Oryctolagus cuniculus: one gene and its partner. The protein of the gene in region 1 interacts with the protein of each later gene in a pairwise test. Links are inferred from orthologs where the notes say so. Each region holds a gene or a part of one and is shown in the gene's direction. Other genes may lie near its edges.

What was found.
Region 2: the proteins of JADE1 (region 1) and YJU2 interact in a two-hybrid assay, tested with the Homo sapiens proteins (2 studies listed by BioGRID and IntAct). The two-hybrid records come from large-scale screens. The link is inferred for Oryctolagus cuniculus from reciprocal best matches to the Homo sapiens genes JADE1 and YJU2.

Annotation. Positions count from the first base shown.
Region 1 is NC_091439.1:35,900,733-35,904,378, reverse strand, and holds part of JADE1 (protein Jade-1), read left to right. Parts: intron 1-991; coding exon 992-1,513; intron 1,514-3,646.
Region 2 is NC_091447.1:59,721,429-59,725,174, forward strand, and holds part of YJU2 (splicing factor YJU2), read left to right. Parts: intron 1-282; coding exon 283-417; intron 418-1,049; coding exon 1,050-1,231; intron 1,232-2,057; coding exon 2,058-2,178; intron 2,179-2,566; coding exon 2,567-2,672; intron 2,673-3,100; coding exon 3,101-3,180; 3' UTR 3,181-3,746.

The DNA of each region.
Region 1 (3,646 bases):
GGCGGCTTGGACTTGGGGTCATTGTTGGGGGGGGGGGGATACTTCGAGTCTTTTAGACATAAATCACTAGAAGCTCAGCGCTGTAAGGGCCAGACAGAAAGGTGGCAGAAAACAGGAGATATGTTCATTTTGGTGCAAAACATTTTAAAGTTCACTATCCAGAATTATTATAATTTTTATTAATTTAATTATTTGGAATTCCTCATTACGGGGGGGGGAGATAGAGAAATCTTCATCTGCTGGTCACTCACCAAATGACCACAATGGCCAGGGCTGGGTCACGCTGAGCCAGGAGCCAGGAGTTTCATCTGGGTCTTCCATGTAGGTGGCAGGGGCCTAAGGACTCAGGCCATCTTCCACTGCTTTCCCAGGTGCATTAGCAGGGAGTTGGATCTGAAGTGGAGCAGCTGGGACACGAGCCAGTGCCCACATGGGATGCTGGCACTGCAGGCAACGGCTTAACCTGTACACCACGGCACCAGCCCTGCAAAAACGTTTTTGAAGTCTGTGTATCCCAGAAATCTCAAAATGTTCATGAAAAATGCATATTGTGAACAAATCATGAATGGATTTCAAAAATATTTTGCACCAAAAATAGACACCCCTTTTATTTTCACTTTCCGTGAACTTTTTGAAGTACCCTCAGCTGTACTGTGCATATTGAGCACGCATTCCGAGTATCACCCATCTTCCTCTACACGCACATTTTTGTCATTCCGTCTGCTTTGAGGGGATTTGGATGTCGTTACTTTTCTAAGAATGTTACGTATGGTTTGATTGGGCTATGGACACTTCAACCTGAAGAGTCCTCTTACACTCTGTGTCTTACCCCATTAGAGAGCCCTGATCTGCCAGGGTTAATTCATGTAAACCTTCCTGCCTCGGCTCATGCTGCAAAGTGGGGCTCTGCTGCGGGAGCCTGTGTGGCCCCTTGGGGGCGCCCATCATTGCTGCTCTCTAACGGTCTTTCTCCTCTGTGGGTTCTTCCCAGTGCTCTGTGAAAAACTGCCGCACGGCCTTCCACGTGACCTGTGCTTTTGACCGGGGCCTGGAGATGAAGACCATCTTGGCGGAGAACGATGAAGTGAAGTTCAAGTCCTACTGCCCGAAGCATAGCTCACACAGGAAAGCCGAGGAGAGCCTTGGTGAGGGTGCCACGCAGGAGAATGGGGCCCCTGAGTGTTCCCCCCGGGATCCTCTGGAGCCCTTTGCCAGCCTTGAGCAGAACCGGGAGGAAGCCCACAGGGTCAGTGTCCGTAAGCAGAAGCTGCAGCAGCTGGAAGACGAGTTCTACACCTTCGTCAACCTGCTGGATGTCGCCAGGGCCCTGCGGCTGCCCGAGGAAGTAGTGGATTTCCTGTACCAGTACTGGAAGTTGAAGAGGAAAGTGAACTTCAACAAGCCCCTGATCACCCCAAAGAAAGACGAAGAGGACAATCTAGCGAAGCGGGAGCAGGATGTCTTGTTTAGGAGGCTGCAGCTGTTCACGCACCTGCGGCAGGACCTGGAGAGGGTAATGATTGACACTGACACCTTATAGTGACTTAGAGAAGAAGATGCAAAGAGGCGAACGCTTGCCCAGAGCAAGAAATGATAGCCAGTCACTCTCAGACCCTTGTACACACCGCAGCATGAGGTTGTGTTGGTTGCATATATTTATGGGCTGGTAAACTCATTGTACACGTGTGCAAGACTGCCACAGAGTGGGCAGCTTCTTTGTGATTTTTTTTTAACACTTTCCCATTAATCTTTACTGTTACACAAGATCAATTGGGGTGTGTCTTATTTTTTTTTTCCTCCTCCCTTCATTCTAGACTTAGAGGGAACTAAGCCCCAGGAAAGTGACCAAGGGGTTGACTCAGACTTATTGTCACACTGAGTTAGAAAGCCAGATGGAGTCAATGTATCGGGTTAGGGCAGAGAGAGGCCAAGGTTAAGTTCAACCCCAGGAAACACCAGGTGCCGGGAAAGGGCTCATTCAGAAGCGCTAAGCACTGCCTCCCACTGGTCCGCCTTCACCTCCTGGCTCATTTACAGGGGCATTCCCAGTACTGTCACGGAGCAGAGCAGGCTGTGGGTGTTGAAATGTGTGCATGAACCTCCATACACATGCGTTTCTGTCCCAGAAGACACTCCTGGCAGTGAGGTGCTAAGTCATCACTGAGGCTGTGTGTGTGTATGTGCACATATACACCCAAATTTATACATATATATAGTGTGTGTGCGTGTGTGTGTGTGTGTGTGTGTCCATCCCTCTGTGTGGGTGTGGGTGTGGATGGGCTCCCTGGTGCCCGGGGCATCAGATCTGTCTGAGGAGCCCCTCGTAATGCGCAGCACACTACAGACAGTGGCATTGTTTGTCCTGGGGCTGCGTGGCTGAGTGCGGCGCCTCAGCTGCTGGCACCTCTTCAGCTGTTGCTGCTTTGTGCCTCCCCCACCCTCCACTACCGTTAGAGTTGCAGTCTGGACCTCGCTTCCTGCTGCAGGAATAATTAGGAGTGGGCTGTCTACCCCTGGGGCTGCCTGCTCCCTGTAGGTAGCTCCTGACTGAGGCTTGCTAATTGGAGATGAGTCTTAGTGCACCTTCTGCGTCAACTCCCTTGACTGCTGGCTGCTGATTAAATTCATAGTGTGAAAGGGATGGGACTGAGGTGTTCTGGCCCGAAGCAGCCTGTACTGAAAGGCACCCAAGTGGCCTGAAACAGTTAACGCAGCTCCTCCAAGCACTGCACTTATTAATGGGGAGTGATTCACCTGCCAGGGAGAATCTGATTCAGTTTGGAATGAGAGTGTAGGCAAGACTAGGTGGGCCTGGAGAAGTCCTGTAGGAGCCAGATGTCGCAGAGACTTGTAGGGCCCTGTGAGGGATGGTGTGGAAAGAAAAGTATTTCCCAGTGTCCTCAGGGATCCAGACCCTTGTAGGATGCCCCCTCCCAGACTGGATTTCCAGCTGGGGAGCAGGACCAGAGCAGGCTGTGTGGCAGTAGTGCTCACATGTGCCCCCTGCTGGTGAGTGTAAAGAAGACCTCGCGTCTCAATCGCATGTGGGTTTATTTATTTTTTAAATGATGAGAAAGGGATTCAGGAGGGTAAACTGGAACTCGGGTGAGACGCCATCGTGCCAACCTGACAACTGCTGTAATTGGGCTGCATGAGCTGTGGAGTCAGATAGTGTTTGGGAGGGGAGGACGAGAAGTTTAATGTTTGGACTGTGTTTGTCTCACAATCACCACAAAATAAAAATGTAGAAAATGCTTGTGGTGTACTAACTCTTTTCTGTATTTAAGTTACTCAGATTAACATACACATATAATTAAATTGTAAACATTTTTTGGAGTCACTGCTGTTGCTTTTTAAGTAGAACAACACCAATGATGTATGAGAAACAGGGAATAAATCAGGATTTGTGTGTGTGTGTGTGTGTGTGTGTGTGGCATTGAATTTATTTTGTTAAACAACTTAGGGAATTCTTAGGGAATTTAGTGTCAGTTTAAAAGGGTCTTACTACAATGAATGGGAAGTCTGTTGCTCAAAATTTGCCACCGAGGCCTGTGAAAGTTGAGGCTTTTAAAAACAAAACCAAAATCCTGGCCGTGACCTAGAGAGTGGCACAGTTATTTGTAAGTGTAAACGATGAGTATCAGGC
Region 2 (3,746 bases), on another chromosome or scaffold:
CCGGGAGCCATCAGTGGACGGCAGCTCGCACTCCCTCCCCCCTCCCTCTCGCACTCCCTCCCCCCTCCCTCTCGCACTCCCTCCCCCCTCCCTCTCGCACTCCCTCCCTCCCTCTCTCCCTCTCTCTCTCCCTCCCTCTGATAGCGAGGCGGTGGGCCGGGGTCGGTCTGTGCCGAGGGTGCGAGGGTGCGCAGGGCCCCGGCCCGCAGACCGACCCCGAGAGCACGGACCGTGGGGGGCGCAGGGCCCTGGCCCGCGCTGACCCGCCGCCCGCCCCCGCAGACCGACCCCGAGAACACGGACTACAGCATGGAGCACGGCGCCTCCCGCAACTTCCAGGCGGAGAAGCTGCTGGAGGAGGAGGAGCGGCGGCTGCAGCGCGAGCGGGAGGACGAGGAGCTCAACAACCCCATGAAGGTGGGGGCCCCCGGGCCCGACCTGCCACCCGCCCCCGGTCCCCGCCCCCGGACCCCGCCCCCGAGACCCCGCCCCCAGGCCCGACCTGCGACCCGCCCCCGGGCCCCGCCCCCGGACCCCGCCCCCGAGACCCCGCCCCCGGGCCCGACCTGCCACCCGCCCCGGACCTGCACACGGGACCCCGCCCCCGAGACCCCACCCCGGGCCCCGACCTGCCACCCGCCCCCGGTCCCTGCCCCCGGACCCCGCCCCCGAGACCCCGCCCCCGGGCCCCGACCTGCCACCCGCCCCCGGGCCCCGCCCTGAGACCCCGCCCCCCCGGACCCCACAGCTGAGACCCCGCCCCGGGACCTGCACACGGGACCCCGCCCCCGAGACCCCGCCCCCGGTCCCCGCCCCGAGACCCCTCAGCTGAGACCCCGCCCCCGGTCCCCGCCCCCGAGACCCCACAGCTGAGACCCCGCCCCCCAGACCTGCACACGGGACCCCGCGCAGCCTCCGCGTCCCAGCGAGGGTGGGAGCCCGGCCGCGCCTGAGCCGCCCGCCGTGGAGCCCGGGTGGGGGTGGGGGTGCGGGGGTGTGCGGGAGGGGCCCGGCCTGAGCCGCCCGCCCACGCCCGCGCCCGCCGCCAGGTGCTGGAGAACCGCACCAAGGACTCGAAGCTGGAGATGCAGGCCCTGGAGAACCTGCAGGACCTGCAGGACCTGAACCAGCGCCAGGCCTGCGTGGACTTCGAGGCCATGCTGCGCCTGCACCGCCTGTCCGAGGACGAGCGGCGGCAGCGCGAGCAGGAGGAGGACGCGCGCGAGACGGCGTGAGTGGGGGGGGCGCGCGGGACGGCGTGAGTGGGGGGGACGCGCGGGAGGGCGTGAGTGGGGGGGAGGACGCGCGGGAGGGCGTGAGTGGGGGAGGACGCGCGGGACGGCGTGAGTAGGGGGAGGACGCGCGGGACAGCGTGAGTGGGGGGGGAGGACGCGCAGGACGGCGTGAGTGGGGGGGAGGACGCGCGGGAGGGCGTGAGTGGGGGGGGAGGACGCGCGGGACAGCGTGAGTGGGGGGGAGGACGCGCGGGACGGCGTGAGTGGGGGGGGAGGACGCGCGGGACGGCGTGAGTGGGGGGGGAGGACGCGCGGGACGGCGTGAGTGGGGGGGACGCGCGGGACGGCGTGAGTGGGGGCGGGGGACGCGCGGGACGGCGTGAGTGGGGGGGGAGGACGCGCGGGACGGCGTGAGTGGGGGGGGAGGACGCGCGGGAGGGCGTGAGTGGGGGGGGAGGACGCGCGGGACGGCGTGAGTGGGGGGGGAGGACGCGCGGGACGGCGTGAGTGGGGGGGAGGACGCGCGGGACGGCGTGAGTGGGGGCGGGGGACGCGCGGGACGGCGTGAGTGGGCGGGGCGGGGCTCTGGTTCCCCAGCCCCGCCCCCGGCCCCTCCTCCCAGGGCCGCGTGGATGGGCAGGACTGGGGGGGGCGGCGCCGCCCTCCCCTCCCCCTCCCCCACCCGACCTGGGCCGGGCCGCGGTTCCCTCAGTGGTTGGGAGCCCCCGGTTCAGGCGGCAGTGAGCGACCCAGGGCTGTGCACCTGCCACCCGCGGGGGAGCCCCCGGCCCGCTCTAGCCCACACAGACGCCCCTCCCCCAGGGCCCTGCTGGAGGAAGCCCAGAGGCGCCGGCTGCTGGAGGACTCCGACTCGGAGGAGGACACGGCCCCCGCCCCGCCGCGGCCGGCGCCCCGGCCCAGCCCCACGGCCATCCTGGAGGAGGTGAGGGGTTATGTGGGGGCGGGGGCAGGGGCAGCCCGCCCGACCCTGAGCTCAGAGCCCAGTGTGTGACCCGGGGGTGTGGCTTGTGCCAATAAAGCTTTATTACAGCTACCCGGCCAGGGCGGGCCCTGCGGCAGCGGCAGCCTGGAAGCCCACCCCCTTTTTATTTGAGAGGCACAGTGACCCCCCCACCTGCTGGCTCCGGGCCGGCCGTGGCGGGGGCCGGGCTCCCCCGGGGCACCGAGTAGGCGCTCGGGTTGGGGGGGGCGTGGTGGGGGCGTGGCAGGGAGAGCCCGCGTGGTCACGGGAGGACCCGGCCGAGCCCCGGGCGGTGGGCAGCAGGCGAGGCGGGCGGCACCGATGGGCCACACGCGTCCGGCACCCGCAGGGCAAGAGGAAGGCGGGCGGTGGCAGCCGCAAGGCGCAGCTGTCCGGCCTGGTGGTGGTGAAGAAGCCGAGGACGGATCCCGAGGGCGCCGCGGCCCCCGGCCCAGGTCAGTGCCCCGGGGGAGCGCGGTGCCGCCCGCGGCCGCCAGGGGGCAGCAGAGCCTCCCGCAGGCGGGCGGAGGGGCCGGGGCTGGGGGCGCTCGGGTCCCAGGGCGCTTTGTGCACAGGCGCAGAGTTCCCGGCGTGTGGAGCTGGTGGTCTCCGTGTGCCCTCCCCGAGCCCGGGGGACAGAGGGTCAGGGTCTTAGCCCGGCGACTCGGGTGCGACCCTCACCCCCACCCGCACCTCCACTAGTTCCATAGCCAGGGCCAGGGCACCCACCCTCTGGGCCTCAGCTTCCTGTCCTGTAAAATGGGGGTGATGGGGCCCAGACCCTGGGCGGGTGGGCCTCGGCCGAGTGTCAGGCGCAGGGTGGAGCCGGGGCTGCGCGCCGCCCCCTCTGGTCGGGGGTCTCAACCCTCCCCTCTGCCCGCAGCCGCACCGGCCCCGCCCGCGCCCCGCCCCTCCTCCCTGAGCCTGCTGGGCGCCTACTCGGACAGCGAGGACAGCAGCTGAGCCCCACCCGGGACCCCGGCCCGGCTGCTGAGCGGGAAGTGTGGGTGGGCCCGGGAGCGAGCCCGCCCATCAGGTTGGCGCCACCCTGCCCCCCACAGAGCTTTCTGGAACGCATCACAGGAACCCGCCCGGCGGCCGGGCACAGTCGCTTCCGTGGGTGCCTCGCCGAGGGCCTGGCCGCTGGCCCACGGGCAGCCTTGCTCGGACCAGGGGCCAGCGGGGCCCTGCGGGGGCTGGCACGGGCGGGGGGAGGCCTGGGCCGCCGCCATCCTCGCCCGCATCCGGCAGCGGCCCCTCGGCGACCAGGGGACCCGAGGGTCAGACTCCAGCAGCGAGAACACGGAGCTCGGGGCCTCTCCTGGCGACCCCACCCCTTCTTTCCATCCGGGGGGCGGGGCCTTGAGAGGTGAGCCCCTCCCACCCTCGGCTGTGGGGCGGGGCGGGCAGTGCTGGCTTCGTTACCGTGGTTACGGCGCCCGCAGCTCCTCCCACATCCAACTGCCCGGGTTCGAGCCCCAGCTCCCCGCTGCTGCCCCTGGGAGGCAGCCCGGGGGGGCCCCGCACCC